7 linked regions of the Tribolium castaneum genome follow. The protein of the gene in region 5 binds, or shares a complex with, the protein of the main gene of each other region. Links are inferred from orthologs where the notes say so. Each region holds a gene or a part of one and is shown on either strand. Other genes may lie near its edges. The genes, in order: SmF, U6 snRNA-associated Sm-like protein LSm6, U4-U6-60K, SmD2, Prp8, holn1 and SmD1.

Region 1 (2,216 bases), on a different chromosome or scaffold from region 5:
AAAGGGTTTTTGAATTTTTTCGCTTCGGCCCAAAAAATATTTTTAGTATTTGACTCTTCATTTGATGACACTTAATTTTTTTTTAATTTTTCTTGTGACCAATGTGTGCCAAAGTTATCAAATTAAATTAAATTGATGCTTTTTAAAATATAAAGTATGTTTTGGCTCCCTCTCGGGTAAATGCAAAAGCAGGTGTATGAGAGGTAACTGTAAGTGCAGGGGAACTTTCTTCAGTTGTGCTGCTATCTGTTCGTTTTGCCGTTAACTACAAGGATTTAATTTACATTTTTGGTACTTAATTATCATTTCCTTATTCCATTATAATTATTTATAGAACACTGTATGTATCCCCCACTTTATAGCGTCCTTTAATGTTAAACAAATAAATATATTTTTGTATTTTTTTTCAAAAGCAAGTTCTCTTGTTTATAATCCGTAACAGTTTGTGTATTTTTTTTGTGGTAGACAATCGTAACGTTACATGTAGAAAAAAAAACAAGTACTTTAACACGATTTATTTGGTAAAAAATTAAATCTACAATACTTATTTACGTAAGTATCCGATCGTACATTTAAACTTGAATTTACATTAAATAATTAATCCTTCGTCTCTCCCTCCTCGTCCTCTTCTTCAGCCCCTCTTATGAACAAGACATTGTTACATCTAATTAAAACTTCCCCTAAGTTACCTGTAAAAAAATGTTACACAAGGGGGTCCGCCTCCAAAGCATAGTTACATACCAGTCATATTCCCATCAATAAATTCCTCTGTGTTTGCTAATTGTAAATTCATGTAACCATCAACTGAGACAAGGTAACCTTTATATTCGTGCCCCCACTTCAATTTTACCATCACAGCCTTGCCTGTTAGGCCGTTGAGGAAAGGTTTGGGGTTTATGGGCATTGCGGTCGACATGGTTGTTGTTTTTGTGTGCAAAAAATCGCAAATAAACTAAAAACGTTGACACAACGCTAACCAGCAAAAGTGAGGTTGGAATCGAGCGACAATTGTGTCAATTGTCAAAATTTCCATCCACCATCGACGTATAAAAAGTTGATGGGTGTCTGATTTTTTAGGGCGCATATTGTTTTTTTGTGATTCTTGGACTAAAATTACCGTAATTAAAAAAAACAAGGATTGTGGTCAATTAATGATTTATTGGCGTTAGAATAAATAACTGTGCGGGGGTTGATTGCCGGCTCTCTATTTTACCAAACCGAAAAATCATTGCCAACCCCCCAGTGCGAAAATCCGAAAATAAAAATTTGTGACATGTGTTTTACATAATTTCGTGGAAAAGACTGTGTTAGGGTAAGCCCCCTCTAGTAATAATCCGGCACTGGTGCACAGGCAATCTTAACAAAATCCTCGTACCGCACCATACTGTTGTTATTAACATTTGCCTCTCTGAAAATCCGATCAATTTCCTTGGCCGAAAGACACTCGCCCCAGTTTTGCAACATGTGACGCAGCTGCTTGGCCGGAATCACCCCTTTCCCCTCCGGGTCCCCAGCCTTGAAGGCGTCCACCACCTCCTTGGGCACGTTCTCCACCCGTGAGTGAATATGCATAACCTCCAAGAAGTCAGCAAAGCTCATTTTGCCGTTCTTTTGCTTGAAATAACCCGCAAGCTCTGAGATGGTGGGCGACAGCCCCAGACTCCTCATTATCACTGTGAGTTCGTCCAGGGACTTGATGTGCCCCGAGCGCGCAAACAAGTAGAAACACTCGCGAAATTCTACAAGATTTACGAGTTAGTTTGGGGGGCTATCACGGGGGTACCTACCGTCAATGTCTTGCTCCTTGAAGTAGCGGGCCTGAAACAAGCTTGATTAGGTTTGGGGTGGGTTTAGCGGGTTATTTTTACCATTTTTCTTGTAAATATTTACACGTCAATTGTATTATTATTATCAAGGTGAAACAGGTGAAAGTACAGTTAGCGTCACGAAATTTGGCACAGACTCGTCATTAATGAATTATTTATTTTTATCTCTGATAAAATGATGATTTTATCGCCCAATTGTGCCAGGTAATTGTTTGGGGCCCCGATTAGTGGGAGCCCTTAATCAGGGTTGTAAACCCCCCGAACGAATCGATTTATCGCCTCATTTCTAACGTAATTTATTAATAAATAAAGTTATATAACAAAACAGCTCGTCATTTGCGATAGTCTTATCACTCCACGCTTAGATGTTGTTAAATCCCCGTCCAATTA
Region 2 (2,078 bases), on a different chromosome or scaffold from region 5:
TTCAGGAAAAAATGAATTATTCCAGCGCCGCACGTCGGTGCCAGGATTTGGGGGGCGACCTGGCTGATATTTTGACTGAGGCAAGGACGAACGCACTAGCTGCGTTACTCAAGTCTTTGCCTAACTGGTACAAGGGGGCATACGTTGGCCTTGACGACATTACGGTTGAGGGGAGTTTTGAGACTCCAATGGGGGACTTTTTGCAATGTTCGCGGTTTCGGGCCTGGGCTGTGGGCCACCCAAGACCAGGACGAAGAAAAGAAGACTGTGTCATGTTAGATGTTGAAAAAACGTGGAGGGCACTCAATTGTAAAATTAAATTGGACTTCATCTGTGAATTTTATCCAACTCCTCCGGACAACACATTGAATGAATTTAAATATCAGAACTGTAGTCTCGTTAAAAGTAAGAAAAAGAAACAAGAGTGTGAGACAAATAACGAGTTATTTGAGCTATACAACAGCTCTACGAGAATCGATCAGTGCGCTTTAATGAACGACTTTGAGTTTTGAAACGTTTTTATTACAAAAAATACATTAGATTCTACGTTTTTGTGTACTTATGTAGAGCACATTGTTGCCCCTAATAAACGCATCCCCGAATTTATTTTTGAGTTGTCCGTTGACGTATTCCTCGGTTTGCTCCAACGCTATGTTCATGTAGCCATCGAGACAAGCCAAAACACCTAAAAACCAAATAATAGCCCCCTTCATTGACAAAAAACAAACATAACCTCACCTCTGTAATCTACACCACTATTCAACTTGACCACAACAGGCCTGGCGTGAATTTGTTGAATAAAAGACGAAAGGGCTTCTTTGCGACTCATCCTTATCAGCTTGTGGCTCAAATTTGCTTATTTAACCGCCTCGGCTGACAAAAACCTAACCTCAAATCGGCATGTACATAACCCCACTTCCTGTTTTTTTCACGCAAAACCATGTCGAAACCGCTAACATTCGTCACCGGCAACGCCAAAAAGCTCGAAGAGGTGGTTGCCATCCTCGGCTCGACATTCCCACGCAAAGTGGTGAGTCAAAAAGTGGACCTCCCTGAGCTCCAGGGCGAAATCGCCGATATTTGCGTGAAAAAATGCCAAGCGGCGTACGAAATCATCAAGGGGCCGTGTATCGTCGAAGACACGTGTCTGTGTTTCAACGCATTGGGTGGTTTGCCCGGTCCTTATATTAAGTGGTTCTTGGATAAGTTGGGTCCTGAGGGGCTGTTTCGACTACTGGCTGGGCATGAGGATAAGAGTGCCCAGGCCGTTTGTACTTTTGCATATCATCCGGGCGATGAAGGGGGCAAAGTGATTCTGTTCGAGGGGCGCACGGATGGAGAGATTGTGATGCCGAGGGGGCCGAGGGATTTTGGATGGGATCCGTGTTTCCAGCCAGTGGGGTACACGCAGACGTACGCCGAGATGCCCAAAGAGGAGAAGAATAAAATCTCTCATCGGTACCGCGCCTTGGACGCGCTGAGGAATCATTTTATGAACCAAGAGAAACAATAATGTTTTGTCGTTTTAGTTTTATTTGACTTTAATCAACTTAAATAAATTGTTTTGTTTGATTTGAGTGCTTTTTTGTTACGCTTTTCTTATTTCTCCGGCAGGTTTATAACAAAACAGTCCGGGGGGTAGTACTTTTTAGTACTCAAATGCCATTATTGAAAGGATAGTAATAAAGCGATCAGTAAAAAATTCGATTTTAATCAGTAAAAAATAATAAATCATCAGTATTTAATTCATTTTTGCACAGTAAAAAATTTAAATGACAAGTAAACCACGCACAGTATTTTTTTAAAATTTGCCCAATAAAAAAATCGTATATGCACAGGATCTAGTTTCAGTTTGCACAGTTTAAATAATAAACGCTCAGTAGCTAGCTTGCAGTCTAGGGCTTCGCCCCAGCAAACTAAAAGGAAAAATACTCCTCGAACGATTAAACTCAAAAACGTAAAATTGGAAATGTGAAATTCTACACACTCTAGTTTTGAGATGCTATTATTTACTGTGCATTTATTATTTTTACTGTGCAATTATTATTTTTACAGTCCATTTATTATTTTTAGTGTGC
Region 3 (4,269 bases), on a different chromosome or scaffold from region 5:
TTTATGCATTTGACAAAAATTATAACCTTGAAATTATTTTCGACATAAACCTTTGACATAAGTTACTAACAAAAATTTTAATAAAAAAGGATAGAAATATATACCCTATCCACATAATACAAAATTGGCTCGGTTTGACGTTCAGTGTCCCAACTCTCCCAATAAAGGAACTCTAGGGTTTTATTGACGTTGCGAGGAGAATCGATTGTTGGCAGTTTGCGGGCCAAGTGGAGTTTCTCATGGGGTCATGAAAAATTGAAGGGTTTTGCTTTTTTTAAAGGGGGCTTACGTGGTCGACGTTGATCTCTCCTTTGTACATGAACTCGACCAAGCACTTAATATCTACATATTTGACATCTTTCATGATGAGGATGGGGTCTTTTTCTTCGTACTGGGACAGGATGGTTTCGAAGTAGGTGCTGCAGGCGGAGAGGACGATCTTGTGGGCCTTGATGGTGCGCCCCTCGCAGGCCAAGGTGACGTCGCAGAAGGCCTCCTTCTCGAGGAGCTGCGAGAACATGGTCTGCAAGTTCGAATGGTGGTACCTCCATCTTAGACAATACTGTTGAGGCAGCATTTTTGGTTATGTTCGTCCAGCTTCCTTCCGACTGTTCGCGTTGGAGATGACGAATTTACCAAAAAGTAATGAGTCACCAGCGTGAGACCTTCGAAATAATCAATACTCGTCGGTTTTGGGGCCTTTGGGCGAGCGTTTGTTTTTTAAATCACCACCACTTCACTGGCACGGCACAACGCATCCGCAAGTCGACTGTTTTTGCGAGGTTTAACAATACAAAGTCCGGCCGAGGATTTCTCAAAAATTTGGAGACGCGTATGTAAATGTTCAGTCATTTGGAAAATTCCGACAAAAAATGTGTCCCTTAGTTTTTTATGAGTCAGTGAGCCAATAGAAACCACGTAAGACCCCTATAAACCATGTATAGTCCGTATATTCGCCGGGCCAAGCCTTTAAGGCAAATCAATACCGCACGTCTTAAAAAATTCTCGCGTAAAAAATCTTGGGAATTGTCGAGGTTTTTCGTCACACACAAATATTTGTCGAGAGCAACGGCTTTTCAGCCTAACTAACGGCACCAAACTCGACTAACGCAGATCCAAAACGGGGTCAAAAATTAAACCGACACAGACTCGGACTGTACTGTAATTAGGCCTTTCATATTTATTTTTATAAACTTGAGATTTTTCAGAGCCTGGGAAAGAAAGAGAAAATCTATCAACTGTTCAAGTTCAACGATCGGTCGTCGCGCCGATTTCGCACAAATTCACCGATTCTTTCACGATTTTCGCACACAAAACACCAGCACGGACATTGCACGGCTATTTAGGCGGTTTCCGCGGCACAACATCGTACATTTACTAAGATTTCCGGACCGAACTTGATAATCTCTCTCTCTCATGGAATTTTTTGGAAAAAAATTTAGACAGAGATAGCAAAACGCTATGTAAAGAAAACAGAAATATTTCTTTTGTGGAAGAAATCGTAAAAACTTGCCGTTGGCTACACTGAACTCACCAGGCGGTTTTGGTTACTTTTTTTGCGACAAATGTCAACTTGACGTTACGTTTTGAACCGATAGCAGTGATAACATGTAAACAAACGTTTTTTACGAATTAACTTGCACAAATACTCATTTTTGCTCAATTTTTAGCACCATGTCCGACGATGAGGACGCGCCTTACGTGAAAAAAACCAAAAATATTCACTACGGCTCGTTGGAGGAAGCGGAAAGAGCTAGGTTAGCAGCCGGCGATGGGAACGATGATAGCAATGAAAAGGCCGAAAGCACGTCGGCGAACCCGCCACAGGTTCACATTTCCACAGGTATTACTTTGGCATCCGTAATTTCGTCCAAATGCCAAAACCTCGCACACAAATGAGCTAAAGCTCAAGTCAACATCAGTTTAATGTAGCGCTAAAATATTCACGAAAAATCTAGTACAAGTGGTACATTATATATTTCTTATTCCTTAATGGAGCCTCGTGGCTCAAAACCCAGGTTCTGTTTTTTGTAATTTCTGTAAAACCAAATTTTGAGTCATGGAATCAAAGTTTTTTATTAGAATACTTAAAATCTTATTATTTATTTATTTATACAGGGTGAGTCAGTCATGAGTTAGTTCTGAAATCTGATGCAACCAGTAAAACTAATTCCACCTGTCCAGTTGTATTCCATTTTTTGAGTATATTGTTAACTTTATCTTAACAGTTTTGCCACTGATTTTGCTAAAACTCCTTTATGAACTACTATTTTTTCAAAAATAAAAAACCGAGTAATTTACCCTGGTATCTTTATTACATGAGAGTATTAAGAGTAAAATTTATCGTTGTAACTGATCGTTTAAATGAATTTCATCGTAATTTATCTCAAAAAAAGCTGGTAAGCAGAAGGTTAAAGTCTCAACATTGTAGCCAATATTTTCTCCAAATTCTTGTGATAAATTTTTTGCCAGTCGACATTTAGTGACATTTGAAGCGCTCAAGAGTGGCTTATTAACGGCCCAGTCAATAACTAGGTTCACATATTGACTCGAGTTGCTTTGTCATGCGAAATAATATGATTACAGATTTTTAAAAAAATATAAAACCTGAGTGATTCAGGAAAAAATCAGGTTTAATACAGCGATTAACTTGCACTTTGGCTTTGAAACTGACAGCCGCGGTGTTATTAAATCAAATGCTTTATTGCGCTATTAAATAAATAATTCGTATTAGAACTCCTTTAATGCCATAAATGCACAATAATATTAAATTGAAAAAAGTTGTGCCATAGGCCCCAGCTTTATATAATTTTTGCTTTTTAAAAAGAACAGTTTGTAGGTGTACCTACGAATGGTAAATAAAAAAAATGTTTATATAACAGCAATTATCACACAATTATTAAAAATGCGTGCTTAGGTGCCTGTTTTTATGTTAAAATCTTTCACTTGAATCTAATAAATACTGTTACGTTTAATTTATTCAGAATACATGGAGCTTGAGGACGCCATGTCCCGCGACAAGCAAGCCCTCTTGGAGGAATTCGAGCGTCGTCGTAAAGCGCGCTCTATTAACGTCTCCACCGATGACGCCGAAGTGAAACGAAACCTTCGCCAATTGGGAGAACCGATCTGTCTATTCGGGGAAGGACCGGCAGATCGGCGTTCACGCCTCCGTGAAATACTAAGTCGTATCGGTGAAGACGCAGTCATTCGACGCGAAGCCGAAGAAGAACGTAAAAATTTCGAAAAAGATCTCGAAACAACGTGGTATCATGAAGGCCCCGAAAGTTTGCGAATAGCCAGATTATGGATAGCGCACTATTCACTGCCGCGGGCCAAAGCCCGGCTTGAGGAAGCCAGAAAAGCGAAGGATTTATCAACGGCTACTAGAACAGCCAAGAAGCAGGAAATACAGAAAAAACTCCAGATTATGTCGATTTATTCGAGTCAGATTGGCGATTCGAGACCTATTGCCTATTGCCAGTTTAGTCCAGATTCGAAACTTTTAGCCACAGCTGGATGGTAATTATCATTTAATAAGTGAAATGAAATTATTTGTTTGATTCAAGGAGCGGGTTGTGTAAAGTGTGGTCAGTGCCCGACTGCACACTCAAACAGACCCTGAAAGGTCACGCCTGTAATGCCAGTGCTATTATTTTCCACCCTAGAGCAACAATCAGCCAGGAGGAAAATATTTGCAATATGGCATCGTGTGCAGCCGATGGTTCAGTAAAATTGTGGGATTTTCAAAGCGAGGAACCGATCGCTGATATCGAGGGCCATATGCCACATCGTGTCTCCCGGTTGGGCTTTCATCCCTCTGGAAGGTTTCTCGGGACTTGTTGCTTTGACTGTTCCTGGAGATTGTGGGATTTGCAGCAATGCACCGAAGTTTTACACCAGGAAGGACACGTCAAACCTGTCTATTGTATTTCCTTCCAGATTGATGGATCGGTCTGTGCCACAGGGTAAATACTTTTGGTAAATTGTGACAAATAATTAATTTCCCAACAGTGGTTTAGACTCATTTGGACGTGTGTGGGACTTGAGGACCGGAAGATGCATCATGTTCATGGAGAGTCACTTAAAGGCGGTTCTAGGGATAGATTTTTCCCCTGATGGCTACCACATTGCCACGTCTAGCGAAGACAACACTTGCAAAATTTGGGATTTGCGCAAACGTTCCGTCTTGTACACAATCCCAGCTCATACGAATTTAATTTCGGAGGTGAAGTTTCAAAGGGACGGCGGCGATTACCTAATTACTTC
Region 4 (2,167 bases), on a different chromosome or scaffold from region 5:
GAAGACTTTTAGTAAATTTGGCCTCCAACAAATTCAAGTGGACACGCATTACTTGCAGTTGTATTTGTGGCGATTTGTTGCGGATGAAAAGTACGTCACGAATTTGAATTTAGTGAAATTAATTGAATTTTCCAGCTTGGTTCATTTCCTCCTGGATGAGATTTTGGGATCAGCAGTCCACAGGTGCCTGGAACCGATTTTAATGGAACCAAGCGTTGTGGACATCATATGTGAAAGGGGTTAGGTCATGCAGCTTGCATAAGTTACAAATATTTATTATTCTTTTGTATTATCTTGTTTAAATAAAAAGGAGAAATTTTATCACATTTTGTTGTATTATTTTTATAGATAAATGTTAAAAAACCGTTCAATCTTTCATTTGCAACGACATGAATGTGATATTTCCACAGTATCACGTTCGCGGTATCAATCAACCGCAGAACAGAAGGACCACACGAGTGAAGTGATAGGTAAGTGAATTTCCTCAATAAACACTAAACTGAAGATACAAATTTTATTCCTAATTAACCACTAGCCGTAGCTAGGGGGTTCCTTACAACTATAATAACCGCATCGCCTCGCAGAAACATTTTCGAAATGAACCGATCCTTATTTACCGGCTTGGCTTTCTTCTTCCCCTTTCCAGGCCGGGGCAGCTCTGTCCACATTTCCTTCACATTCTCCAACACTATGTTGCAGTGCCGATCGAACGCCTTCACCCGCCCCAGCAATTTCTTGTTGTTTCGGCAGTTTATCAGCACCTGAGTGTTGTTCTTCACCGACTGAGTGAGCACCGAAAGGGGGCCCGTGTTGAACTCTTCCTCCTCGCGAGCCTGAAGCTCCTCGGCCGTCATTTCAGACTTGGGTTTCGTTAAAGCCATTCTGACTCGGTTTTTGCACTTAAAACAACACTTTTTCCGGCACAAAAATAGTTAGGTTAGGAATTTGAGCGTTTTGGATGCGTTTGGGGAATTTTGCAATGCGCATGCGCAAACTGGGTTTAATACTATGGCGGCAGATTCAAACATTTAAAGTGAAGAAAACAAACTTCGAATTAAATCAACAATTATTCTTCTCACATTTAAAGTTACATTAAGATTACTCTTTTGAATAATTAATTAAGAGTTTTAACATACTCAAAAACCACGATCTAAAAACTAATTACAAAATCGAGCAAATAAACCAATTTATAATCCATTGAGATGAAGACGTTAAATATAAGAGCAACAAGCTATTAATGAATCAGATAGGGGAATGCACCGTTTATTATAATTTAACTAGAAAATGTAATAAATATTGCAAATACGAGTATTGCAGTGCATTTTTCCAACGAAGGGAGTTTAATTCCCAGCAATTTGTTAGCCCCAGAATCGAAAATTAAATAATTACGATAAACAATAATCACTCTTTATTTATAGTAAGTATAACAATAAGAGATAACCAGTGCAAGTAATTATTCCAGCAGCGTGTTTATTTAAGTATACAAGCAATGCCAACGCAAATAATAATAGAATAATCATTAAAATGCAGTGAGGAGCCGATAAACCACCCCGTCCCGCTATATAAATTAAATACTTGAAGAAACGCACCAGAAGAAAGCCTCTTGTCCACCCGGTATTAAGTAGTTGCGCCGAAGGTGATGTTTTTGAAATCTCCTCGGTCTGGCTGCTTTATACCGCATGGATGAAAATCACCAAAAAAAGTCTGTTTTCTTGTCACACGTTGTCAGATTTAATAATTCTTAATTCGACTTCCTCATTTGCGGCGTTTCCTGTCGCCGCCCGTCTAAGGTCCCGCATTTGAGGCTTCGTTTTTCATGAGTTCGGTCTTCGTGTGCCTACCTTAATTCAATTAATCAATTGACCAGATGAATGGAATAAAGTTCATATGTTTGACATCGACGATGAACATATTTAAATCTCGTTAGGGGCCACTTCGGACTAAATAGGATAATAGCCGATGCTTACGGCTGCTTGCTGAATGCCTCTTGTGTCGAGATACACGCGCTGTATTCAATGATATTGTTTGTGTTGGGCAATTTTCTATTTTTGACGCAAGTGTTTATAAGAGTGGACTTTTGCTCAGGTAATTTTTGGGGAAATGTAGAGTAGTTCTATGTAGAGGAGTTTGATTTGGAAATGATTTTCCGGGCGTTTATACGCGAAAA
Region 5 (4,076 bases):
TACGGAGTTTTTAGTTGTAGTTTCAATTCATATTATAGAAAATTTACGAAGAAAAATGGTAGAAAAAGCCTGAGTAGTTCACAATACAAAAAAAGTCAGAAGTCAGCGATAACGTAATATTATAGAAATGAAATAAGTTGTAAAAAAGTCACGTTTAAAAAAAAAAACTTTAAATAAATACAGTGATTTTTTCATAAATATCTTAGAAAATAGAAGAGGCATTTAAAAATCTAGTGCATGTTTGGTGGCATTACTAAGAATTTTTTCAGGTTTTTTTTTAATTTAATTTTCAGAACTACTATCTTGCATAGAGAACTAGAACTGAATTTGTAAATTCATTCCAATAAACTTGACTGAAAAAAGTTAAGAATAATACTGAATTTTAGAAAAATTCAACTGATAACAAGAATGAAATTAAAAGCAAATACTTTATTTTCTGATTTGTTATTATTAGCTTCTAATGCCCGAAAATTGATAGAATTTGTTTAATGTAAAAATAATTAGAACTTTATAACTGTTGTGGAGCAGTGTATATTAAAACACCAATATCCCAAACATTTTTAAACAGTTTATGCAGTTAACTGTTCATTTGTAGGTTTTACAAGAGAGTGGTACTATTTAAAATTTTCAAAAATGATCTATATTACAAAGGGATTTATAAGTGCTACAAATTTACAAAAAGCGAGAAAAAATGTCCCTCTATCAATGAAAATTGTCCATTTTCAGGCTTCGTATTTTTTTCTTATTTCCTGAATTAACCAATTTTTTTTAAGATAGTTTTGTCATTTAATGTAAGATTTGACAATCTTAAAACATAATCTTTAAAAGGGTTAATGAAAATCCAACTTGGACGTGCAAGTAGACATTTTTCGTTAACTCTTTCAAATATACCTTGCACATTAATGATGGATCTTCAATTCACTTTATAATCTTTAAAACACTACCAAAAAAGTTAGATAATTTAAAACAAGAAATTACCAATAAAATTAGAAAAATTTCTAAAAGCAAAATTAGACGGCAAGAGCTTAAAAAACGCTTTGGATACTGCATAGAGAGAAATGACAATCAATGAACATATCTTTAGGACCACGCTATTTAGAATATTTAGAGTACTTTGTATTTCAAATAAGTACACTACAATGTATGCCCTTTCAACAAAAAATTTCTTCTCAAAATTTGGCTCGTTTTAAAAAAATCACTGTAATGTTTAAATCAATCTGAACCACTATAAATGTGTTTGTCATTTGCTAATTTTTTTTGTAAATTCCAAATTTTGCTCTCGTTTTTGTTTTGTAAATTTATTAAATATTCTGTCTTTATTTCTCTAATTTGCAAATGTGTTTGCTGAAAGCAGATAATCCGCATCTTATTCGATACGATCTTAGATGAAAATAATTTTGTGTTTCCCAATAATATTGCAATTATTCATATTATGTTTTGAGCGTTTACTGTTTTTCCCTAAAAATGTCAGTAAACATATTTCAAATTTTACTTGTTCCAAATCTACATTTCTTTCAAAGTTTTTACGAGCTTTACTAAATATTTATCTATTCTATATACTAACCAAACATTTTATGATACAGTATAAGCAAATCTCGCCTTAAATCAATAATTTCATCATAAAAAGATTTATTTATCGCCCGCTTTTTCTAAACTTTACTACCTCATTATTAGCAGCTTGCATTCTTAAAATATTTTCATTTTCTTTGTACAGTCGTCCTTCCAAATAGCAACAGTTTTGAAAATGAATTAACCCTCCACATTTACTTTTTAAACTTGAGAAATGATTTTAAGAATCAAAATTTTTGATAAAAAATTTTCGAAATAAGCCCCAAAATTTTAATTTCATAATTGATCAAAATATAATACAAAAAAGTGTTTTTACCGTTTTCCGAAAACCGGAAAAGAATTAATTAACATTCAATTTGCACAAAAACAACGTTGTTATCAGTGATCAACAAGCTATCACTGAAGCAAACATTCAAGCAGATATTTAATACGTTTAATATTTGAATACGTTGACAAAAAAAGTGAAATTTTACCCCAAATAAACGCGTTTATCGTGTCGATATTTACGACTGCTCATGTCCCCATGATCCCTAATAATCTTCCGAATGTGCTCAGGCGGCATATCCTCCTTCTGGGCATCAACGAAGCCAAGTTTTCGTTTATCGGCAAATCGTTTCGACTGAAGTTGATGCCACTTTTGGGCTTTTTCCTGGAGTTTTTCTTCAGTCATCACATCCGACTTTGGATGTGGGGGCGGTATTTGTTGTTGTAAAGCATGAGCATGGGCCTGAGCTGCAGCGGCCTGGGCCTGGGCATGGGCTGCAGCCAGGTGCTGCTGGGCCATCATGGTGGCCCATGGGTTCGGCCCCAAAAGATACGGGGGCAGCGACATTCTGAAAGTAATATAAAACCAAGCATAACCATGTGTTAATACAGGATAATAAGTTGCGGTGATTTTAGTAATGTAAATGGTAACAATTCGTAAAAACGAAGTTAAATTGTAATCGTTTTTAGGTGGAACGTTGTTACGGTAGTTTTTACAAGGAAAGGAAACGCACTTTTTGTACTAACCGCTTCTGTACACAAATAACGAAATAAGTGAATTATCTAACTTAAATTGGTTTAAACTCACCTTGTCCTTTTAAAACTTGAACAAAATTGATAATTTTACTGTTTTAGTGCTTAAATGCATCTAAAACGTTCACTTTACGTTTTGATGCGGCGTTCATTTTCTCATTCGCACACATCACCTGCAAGCGCCATATTTACGATTATCAATACCAATCTCACAATTACAAAGAACACTAAATCCACTAAAACAGAGCAGTGGTTGTCAACTTTAAATTCTAAGCAATCGTGTTTTGTTGGTGGCCTATAATGCTTATACGAGGACCACTGATGTAGATAAATAATTAGCGTCTAGCGAAAGCAAAGTGTTTTTGCCTTCGCATATTAGCTTACGTTTGCACATTTTTAAATTCTGCCTTGTAAAAAAAATCGTGGTACAAATATTAAATACAAGGTGTTTAAACATAAGTTTACGCCTGAACCACTTATTCCGTTTAAAGCATTCTTGAAGTAAAAATAAGATAAACAATGATAATTACTAGTAATTAAAACAAGAAGAATAAAAGAATTACACTAGTTTACAATTATTTTTATTTTATCAAGAGATAATTTATACTGGTTTTGTTTTCTGCATACTCACTGATAACTAAAAGATATCTCACGTTTGTCTATCACGTCTAGTTTTTTAATATACTCACTAAGAGCCGGTTTACAGAAAGCTCAATTAAAGTTAATTGCGTTGTTAAAAGTTAACAACGCAAATGGACCAACCAAATTGCTTCACTTTGGTCACGTGATCAGTTAATCACGCATTTAATTACGAATTAAGTTAATAACGCTTTATAAATCGGTCAAGTTGTCAAGTTTAGCATTCGTTGTTTGTGAGATAAACTAATTGTGAAACATTTTATTTGCTTTAAATTTTCGTCAAGTTATTGTAGACTAAGTCCAAACAACTTTTGTTTTTTTTTTTTTTTAAATAATCCTAATAAAACCCAGGAAACTTAAGCGATCAAATGGTAAACGTTTTCGTCGAGATTTAAAGTCTTATGAAAAAAAGTTTACCAAAGTTTTTGGGATAAAAATAGTATGTTAGCCGATTACTGCTGGCTACAATAAGAGAAACTGACAGTAATCAGTGCAAAAATAAAACAATCTGTGTCATTTTTAATTTTTCAAAAGTTTTGATTCAATCTTTTTTACGGTGTCTTTGTCATTCGTTATTAACATGATTAACAAATTATTATATTTATTAATATAATACGAGTGCAAAAACACAAACTTAAAATTCGAGAACTGTTGTTATGCAACGAGCGTATGCGAGTTACATACCTAGATACCCGAAAACTTTTAATTTTTTTTTGTTGAAACATTTTAATTTACAACACGTTGCTATAAAAAACGTGTTTGAAAATAGTGAAAACAATTTTCGGTGGGGTTATAAACTAGAAGAGTTTCATTGTCACCCAAAAACATTGTCAAAATTTTGAAGCTGTAGA
Region 6 (2,763 bases), on a different chromosome or scaffold from region 5:
CTTCCATAATCCTTTGGGGATGTATGGAGGAGTGATGTACAGTGGATTTTCCATAATGATTGGGGGGATGGAACCGTGGACTTTCAAACATGGCGATCCCGATTACAAGAGACTCAAACCGGCCAAAGACTGTACACCTATCGATTATCCGAAGCCTGACGGTAAAATCAGCTTCGATCTCCTCTCTTCCGTTGCGCTGACTGGGACCAATCATGAAGGTGACCAACCCCCGCATCTAACCCTGAAGGACGATACCGTTCCTGTTAAGCAAAATTTGGGCATTTATGACGGGCCTGAAGGCCGGTTTTGTCCAGCAGGAGTGTACGAATTCGTCCCGCTTGAAAGTGGGGACGGTCAAAGGCTGCAAATCAACGCCCAGAACTGTATACATTGCAAAACTTGCGATATTAAAGACCCGAGTCAGAACATCAACTGGGTGGTTCCCGAAGGAGGTGGCGGCCCGGCTTACAACGGAATGTAATTAAGTGCCTTTAAGCAAATTGCTTGACTTTTTATGTATATTGATAATAAAATTTTTATAACACTGTTAGTCATACAGCTCGAAGTCTATCCGGTTCGAGGTGTAAAAGTTGGATTGTTCGCCACACTTACGCACCCACACTCCCGTCTTGAAGTACCCTTCTTTGGACCACTTTAACATTTGTGAGGTGTCGTACGGACCCTCGACTTGGTCCTTGTCTTGGTCCCACTTAAATTCCCACATTAACTGCTCTGGTTTACCTGACACTGACGCCGTCTCCATCTTCTCCTTCTCCTTGTCGCCGAAGTCGTCAGCATACATGTCCAGAACAGGCTCACTGTTTTTCGGTTTCGTTCGGTCGTCAATTTTTTTGGTAATTTCTTCAAAAGTCTCCTGGTATACGTTCATGTTCCCCGTCTTCGTTAATATACTATTCGCGATCTCGGTCATGTCCGCCACATCCTGATTCGAATTCAAAGTCCCTGCCTTCTTGCGCTTCAGTCTCTCGACACTGGACAACTTCAAATCGCCCCCTAACCGCCTCAAACACTTGTTGACCGTTTCTTTGGGTTTCATGTAGTTGAGCATCTTTTTGTACAAACCGACCTCATCGAAATCCTCAGCTTCCGACTCAGAATCACTCTCGGCCCCCAAGCCTTTCTCGTTGGGGTCCAACTGGTACTTATCGTCACTGTTGACTTTATGCCAGTCGATGTTGTCCAACCAATTATCCCGTATTTCCTTCTCGTTGTTCCAAATAAAGTGGCCCTCTTTGTCGAAATGCCCTTCTTCCATCTCCTCTTTCATGTTGAAGGCGGTCATCCGGACCCCTTCAACCTGACGCGAAATTCCCTCCTCTTCGCCCTCGATGTCGTCGGCGTTGAGCTCTTCAGCGGTCTCATCGTAATCGTCCTCTTCGTCCGAATCCAAGGAATGTTTTTTTGCGTTAAACTTCACCTGGCGCCGCTTATTTTGCGAAAAATCGCCTTCGTTGAATTTTCGTTTTGACATTTTTGACAAATGCAAAACAAACAACACGCATGCTCTCAAAACCGATCTGCACTTTTGGTTTGTATCCACGGTTAAATTTTTTAATATTTGTTTTTTTTGGAAATAATCATAATCAGCTTTTTTTACCGCAAATTTTTCACCACGCTTATTACTAAAACATAAACAACTCAAAAATATATTGTAAAAAACCCAAAAAGTTAAGAAAAACTGTAAAATTGAAATGGTATGTTTGGCAACTATCCAAGAGATGGCACAAGCTACTTTAAAATTTGTTTATACTGTGTGTTTCAAAAAAGATGTCCTCCAAATACGTGCAAATACGAATTTCTCTTATGCTCTCATTACTTATTAGCAGTCGCATATTTACATAAGGAGAAAATGGGCTATAGCCCAGAACGACAGAATTTTAGAATTTTTTTGTTACAAGCTTTATTTTTTAAATAAATTGCAAACTAAAGGTTCTGATTTTTTATGGTTGAAATAATGAGTTTTAAGATGTTTTTAATAGTTTCAAATTATATTATATTAAATTCACAATAAGTAAACAGAGAACAAGCCTGAGTACCTAATGCAAATATCTACAGAAAAAGTTTTTAAGTCAGCGACAACGTACACGTACAACTAATATTGTAGAAAAAAGTGCAAAATAGCTACGCTTTTTTTTTTAAAACTTCATAAATAAATACAGGCTGATTTTTTAACATATCTCAGAATATAAATGAGAACATTTAATACCTAGTACATGTTTGGTGACATTACTAAGAATTGTTTCAGGTTTTCCCATGTGATTTTCAGAATTATCTTGCATTTTTAGAGAATTTGTGCTAGAACTGAATTTGCTATTTGATTGACTGATTAAAAAAAGTTCAGATATTAAAAAAAATTAATTAATTTTGTATTTTAAGTTTATTAAGTTACACCTAATGCAAGATTGTAGAGCCATAAATACTACAAGCGCGTCAATTAATAATACAGTGAAACTTAGTTACAACGAACACCTAAGTGACTTCCGAATTTGTTTGTTGTAACCGATCGTTCGTTTTAACATATGGAGTAATTTTCAAGATAAATGAGTTCTAAAGTTTAAGATAGATATACGTTATGAAATAAAGTATGATTATATTTTATTAAAAGCTATATAATTACATGAGTTCATAGTTATACATATGTATACCTATAACAAATATTTTATTTATTTAATGATTTGTGTTTGTACTTAACACCTTAGCTGTTTTTAAGGTATGTTTCACTTTTGAAATCATTCTGCAATA
Region 7 (2,416 bases), about 700 kb from region 5:
TTTTTGTATTGAAAGTAAGAGAATGTTCCTAAATTTGTAAAATAATTATTAATATAAAAAAAATTGAGGTTAAATAAAGTGATAGTCCATCTGTTTCTGTATTGATAGTCAGTGTTTAAGACCACCCGAAAAATGGGGCTATCTTTAGGAGAATGTTCCGTCATGAAGGAGGTAATCAGTAAAACGTTAATTTTACCAAACTCATTTAACCATTTGTAGATAACAAAAACAGAAGAAGCAATCAAAGCCTGTTACGTGAGGGTCCAACTTTTAGAAAAAAAGATCGAATCTGATGAAATCCCCAACGAGAAAAAAGCCGACATGAAGAAAGAGTTACGAGAAGTTCGCAAACTTTTAACCACAAACGAAAACCAACTTTCACAACTCCACAGACACAATCGAAAATCATTCGCATTTGTAGCCGCCTTCTGTTTTGTTTGTTTCACAGTTTACGTTTTATACATTTTAGTACAAGGTCCCGATTTTTAATAACAAAGACATTTTAAACCTAAATATGTTTTATTGATGAATTTAGCAGAATTATAAAAGTTTTACAAATACTGGAACTAAACGAAAAGATTCACACTTACAATTACGAAACTTAATTTAATGAACGTATTCTTATCTACGCCCTCTCCCTCTGCCCCTGCCTCGGGGGCCCCCTCTGCCACGGCCCCTCCCGCGGCCTCTGGCAGCCCCCCGGGCGCTCTCCTTCTTCTTGGCCTTGGCTTTGGGGGTGTCGTCAATCAGCAGAGTCTCGAGGGGTAAACTATCGGGCAAAATGTAGTAACGAATGTTGTTTCCTCTAACTGTTAGGGTGTCTAAGTTCACAGGATTTCGGTTCTTTACAGTCACTTTTACAGCTTTTAAGTGCGTATTCATGGCCACATCTACACCGGTTATAGTGCCATGGACTTGTGTGCCGTTTTTCAGCTCCATTGTGACCGTTTCATGGCTCAGTTTCATTAAAAACCTGAAAATGGCCGAAATGTTAGGTTAGGTGGTTTTTCAGGAGTTTTACTTGGAATTCAAGGAAATAAAAACGTGTCTGATCAATCAGTAGTTTACGTTCTCACCTTACTAATTTCATGTTGATATTTTTGGTGTAATTAAGACAATTTTTATATTATGCCGGCAAAACACGCTTGGCTTACGTTTTTTTACCCCCCCTCTTCCATAGAGGGAAAGAGAATGAGCATATAAGAAAGAGATGGCAAGAAAACTTGCGAAGGGAGCGCCACTTACGTGGCGCCAATTTTAAATCGTTATTTTTTTTATAGGTTTGCAGATAATTATGGACTCTGAAAATAAAAACAATTCTTTATTATTTACTATTATCACAGCTATTATCAAAATAACCTTGCTATTGGCACGTAGTAACAATGAAATATTTTGCTTTATACAGTCGAACTTCGATCACCCGAATAGGCCGTTGCCACTTCAAATCATCTTTGTAGAATACAGTGGAATAATACTTTTGTTGAGTTCAAGTGATTCCTGTTATTATAATATGAGCAATTTTTTTAACTAATCCAACAAAGTGTTTACCTTAAAAATCTCAACTCTCTCTAGTGCATCTAGTGTTCTTGTTCTTAATTTTTATTAGTTGCGTGTTTTTAGTTAATTAATTAATTAAACAAAAATTCGTGTTATAAAAATTTTTCGAATTCAAAATTTGAAATTGAACAAAATAATTGGTGGAGTCGGTTTATCCCCGTTCGGGTGACAGGGGTTCCACTGTATGAATACATTTTGCGGAGAAAAATTTAAGATTAGGTCGATTATATAAATTATATGTTAATAAGAAGTTAGAAAATACTTATCTGAAAAGTTAAAAAAAGTAATTTTTGACTTGTTTTCGCCTAAATTATAACTATAACATGAGAAAGATACGTTTTTAGTTTGACAGTTTTTGAGTGAGGCTTCAAAATTGCTGAAATTATGTGGACACGATTATAATGGGCAAAATTAGATTATAGGATAAGAGGGTTAACCTACAGAAATTTGGGCATAATTATTCACTGTACATAATAACCCCACTCTCCCCTACCTAAAGTATTTGAAAAACACTTGTTACTGATTAATTTATGTTATTTATTACAATATTAGAATAGATAACACAAAACTAGTAATAATCATTTTCGCAAGATCTCGGGTCCGGTCGCAACTCTGACCTCTGTCGAAAGAACTGAAAAATTCCGGTTAGTTTTAAGTTATCAAATGACTACGTTGCAAGTACAAGTTTATTAGTACAATTTTATTAAAATGTTACTTAAATAAAACCATTTTTACCCAAAAAATTTACAAAAAGTCATTTTTGGATACAAATTTTCTAGTTTTACTTTTTTGAATTATGTTAAAAGACTAGGTGGTTATTTACCAGTGAACGATCGATTATGAAATTTAAATAAAAAAA

The links.
Region 1: Prp8 (region 5) and SmF share a complex: the UniProt entries of both Homo sapiens proteins name them as parts of the U4/U6-U5 tri-snRNP complex. The link is inferred for Tribolium castaneum from reciprocal best matches to the Homo sapiens genes PRPF8 and SNRPF.
Region 2: Prp8 (region 5) and U6 snRNA-associated Sm-like protein LSm6 share a complex: the UniProt entries of both Homo sapiens proteins name them as parts of the U4/U6-U5 tri-snRNP complex. The link is inferred for Tribolium castaneum from reciprocal best matches to the Homo sapiens genes PRPF8 and LSM6.
Region 3: Prp8 (region 5) and U4-U6-60K share a complex: the UniProt entries of both Homo sapiens proteins name them as parts of the U4/U6-U5 tri-snRNP complex. The link is inferred for Tribolium castaneum from reciprocal best matches to the Homo sapiens genes PRPF8 and PRPF4.
Region 4: Prp8 (region 5) and SmD2 share a complex: the UniProt entries of both Homo sapiens proteins name them as parts of the U4/U6-U5 tri-snRNP complex. The link is inferred for Tribolium castaneum from reciprocal best matches to the Homo sapiens genes PRPF8 and SNRPD2.
Region 6: Prp8 (region 5) and holn1 share a complex: the UniProt entries of both Homo sapiens proteins name them as parts of the U5 snRNP complex. The link is inferred for Tribolium castaneum from reciprocal best matches to the Homo sapiens genes PRPF8 and CD2BP2.
Region 7: Prp8 (region 5) and SmD1 share a complex: the UniProt entries of both Homo sapiens proteins name them as parts of the U4/U6-U5 tri-snRNP complex. The link is inferred for Tribolium castaneum from reciprocal best matches to the Homo sapiens genes PRPF8 and SNRPD1.

What each region holds. Positions count from the first base shown.
Region 1 is NC_087398.1:3,706,351-3,708,566, forward strand, and holds SmF (small nuclear ribonucleoprotein F), read right to left. Parts: upstream 1,033-2,216; 5' UTR 917-1,032; coding exon 742-916; intron 690-741; coding exon 598-689; 3' UTR 501-597; downstream 1-500. Other genes in the region: calmodulin-like protein 4, read right to left, coding at 1,324-1,739, 1,788-1,818, 1,869-1,871. UniProt on the Homo sapiens protein: Plays a role in pre-mRNA splicing as a core component of the spliceosomal U1, U2, U4 and U5 small nuclear ribonucleoproteins (snRNPs), the building blocks of the spliceosome.
Region 2 is NC_087398.1:10,391,338-10,393,415, reverse strand, and holds U6 snRNA-associated Sm-like protein LSm6, read right to left. Parts: upstream 878-2,078; 5' UTR 830-877; coding exon 739-829; intron 686-738; coding exon 537-685; 3' UTR 513-536; downstream 1-512. Other genes in the region: uncharacterized protein LOC100142353, read left to right, coding at 1-512; inosine triphosphate pyrophosphatase, read left to right, coding at 941-1,513. UniProt on the Homo sapiens protein: Plays a role in pre-mRNA splicing as component of the U4/U6-U5 tri-snRNP complex that is involved in spliceosome assembly, and as component of the precatalytic spliceosome (spliceosome B complex).
Region 3 is NC_087397.1:1,345,151-1,349,419, forward strand, and holds the start of U4-U6-60K (U4/U6 small nuclear ribonucleoprotein Prp4), read left to right. Parts: upstream 1-1,469; 5' UTR 1,470-1,610; intron 1,611-1,670; 5' UTR 1,671-1,674; coding exon 1,675-1,843; intron 1,844-2,984; coding exon 2,985-3,522; intron 3,523-3,569; coding exon 3,570-3,968; intron 3,969-4,014; coding exon 4,015-4,269. Other genes in the region: zinc finger protein 131, read right to left, coding at 290-577. UniProt on the Homo sapiens protein: Plays a role in pre-mRNA splicing as component of the U4/U6-U5 tri-snRNP complex that is involved in spliceosome assembly, and as component of the precatalytic spliceosome (spliceosome B complex).
Region 4 is NC_087395.1:17,190,837-17,193,003, forward strand, and holds SmD2 (probable small nuclear ribonucleoprotein Sm D2), read right to left. Parts: upstream 982-2,167; 5' UTR 882-981; coding exon 525-881; 3' UTR 501-524; downstream 1-500. Other genes in the region: Vps51 (vacuolar protein sorting-associated protein 51 homolog), read left to right, coding at 1-90, 136-244; serine-rich adhesin for platelets, read right to left, coding at 1,742-1,837. UniProt on the Homo sapiens protein: Plays a role in pre-mRNA splicing as a core component of the spliceosomal U1, U2, U4 and U5 small nuclear ribonucleoproteins (snRNPs), the building blocks of the spliceosome.
Region 5 is NC_087394.1:7,721,991-7,726,066, forward strand, and holds the start of Prp8 (pre-mRNA-processing-splicing factor 8), read right to left. Parts: upstream 2,801-4,076; 5' UTR 2,642-2,800; intron 2,403-2,641; 5' UTR 2,402-2,402; coding exon 2,043-2,401; intron 1-2,042. UniProt on the Homo sapiens protein: Plays a role in pre-mRNA splicing as core component of precatalytic, catalytic and postcatalytic spliceosomal complexes, both of the predominant U2-type spliceosome and the minor U12-type spliceosome.
Region 6 is NC_087402.1:7,512,643-7,515,405, forward strand, and holds holn1 (CD2 antigen cytoplasmic tail-binding protein 2 homolog), read right to left. Parts: upstream 1,531-2,763; 5' UTR 1,493-1,530; coding exon 548-1,492; 3' UTR 501-547; downstream 1-500. Other genes in the region: Etf-QO (electron transfer flavoprotein-ubiquinone oxidoreductase, mitochondrial), read left to right, coding at 1-481. UniProt on the Homo sapiens protein: Involved in pre-mRNA splicing as component of the U5 snRNP complex that is involved in spliceosome assembly.
Region 7 is NC_087394.1:7,020,357-7,022,772, forward strand, and holds SmD1 (probable small nuclear ribonucleoprotein Sm D1), read right to left. Parts: upstream 1,232-2,416; 5' UTR 1,091-1,231; coding exon 1,077-1,090; intron 974-1,076; coding exon 622-973; 3' UTR 501-621; downstream 1-500. UniProt on the Homo sapiens protein: Plays a role in pre-mRNA splicing as a core component of the spliceosomal U1, U2, U4 and U5 small nuclear ribonucleoproteins (snRNPs), the building blocks of the spliceosome.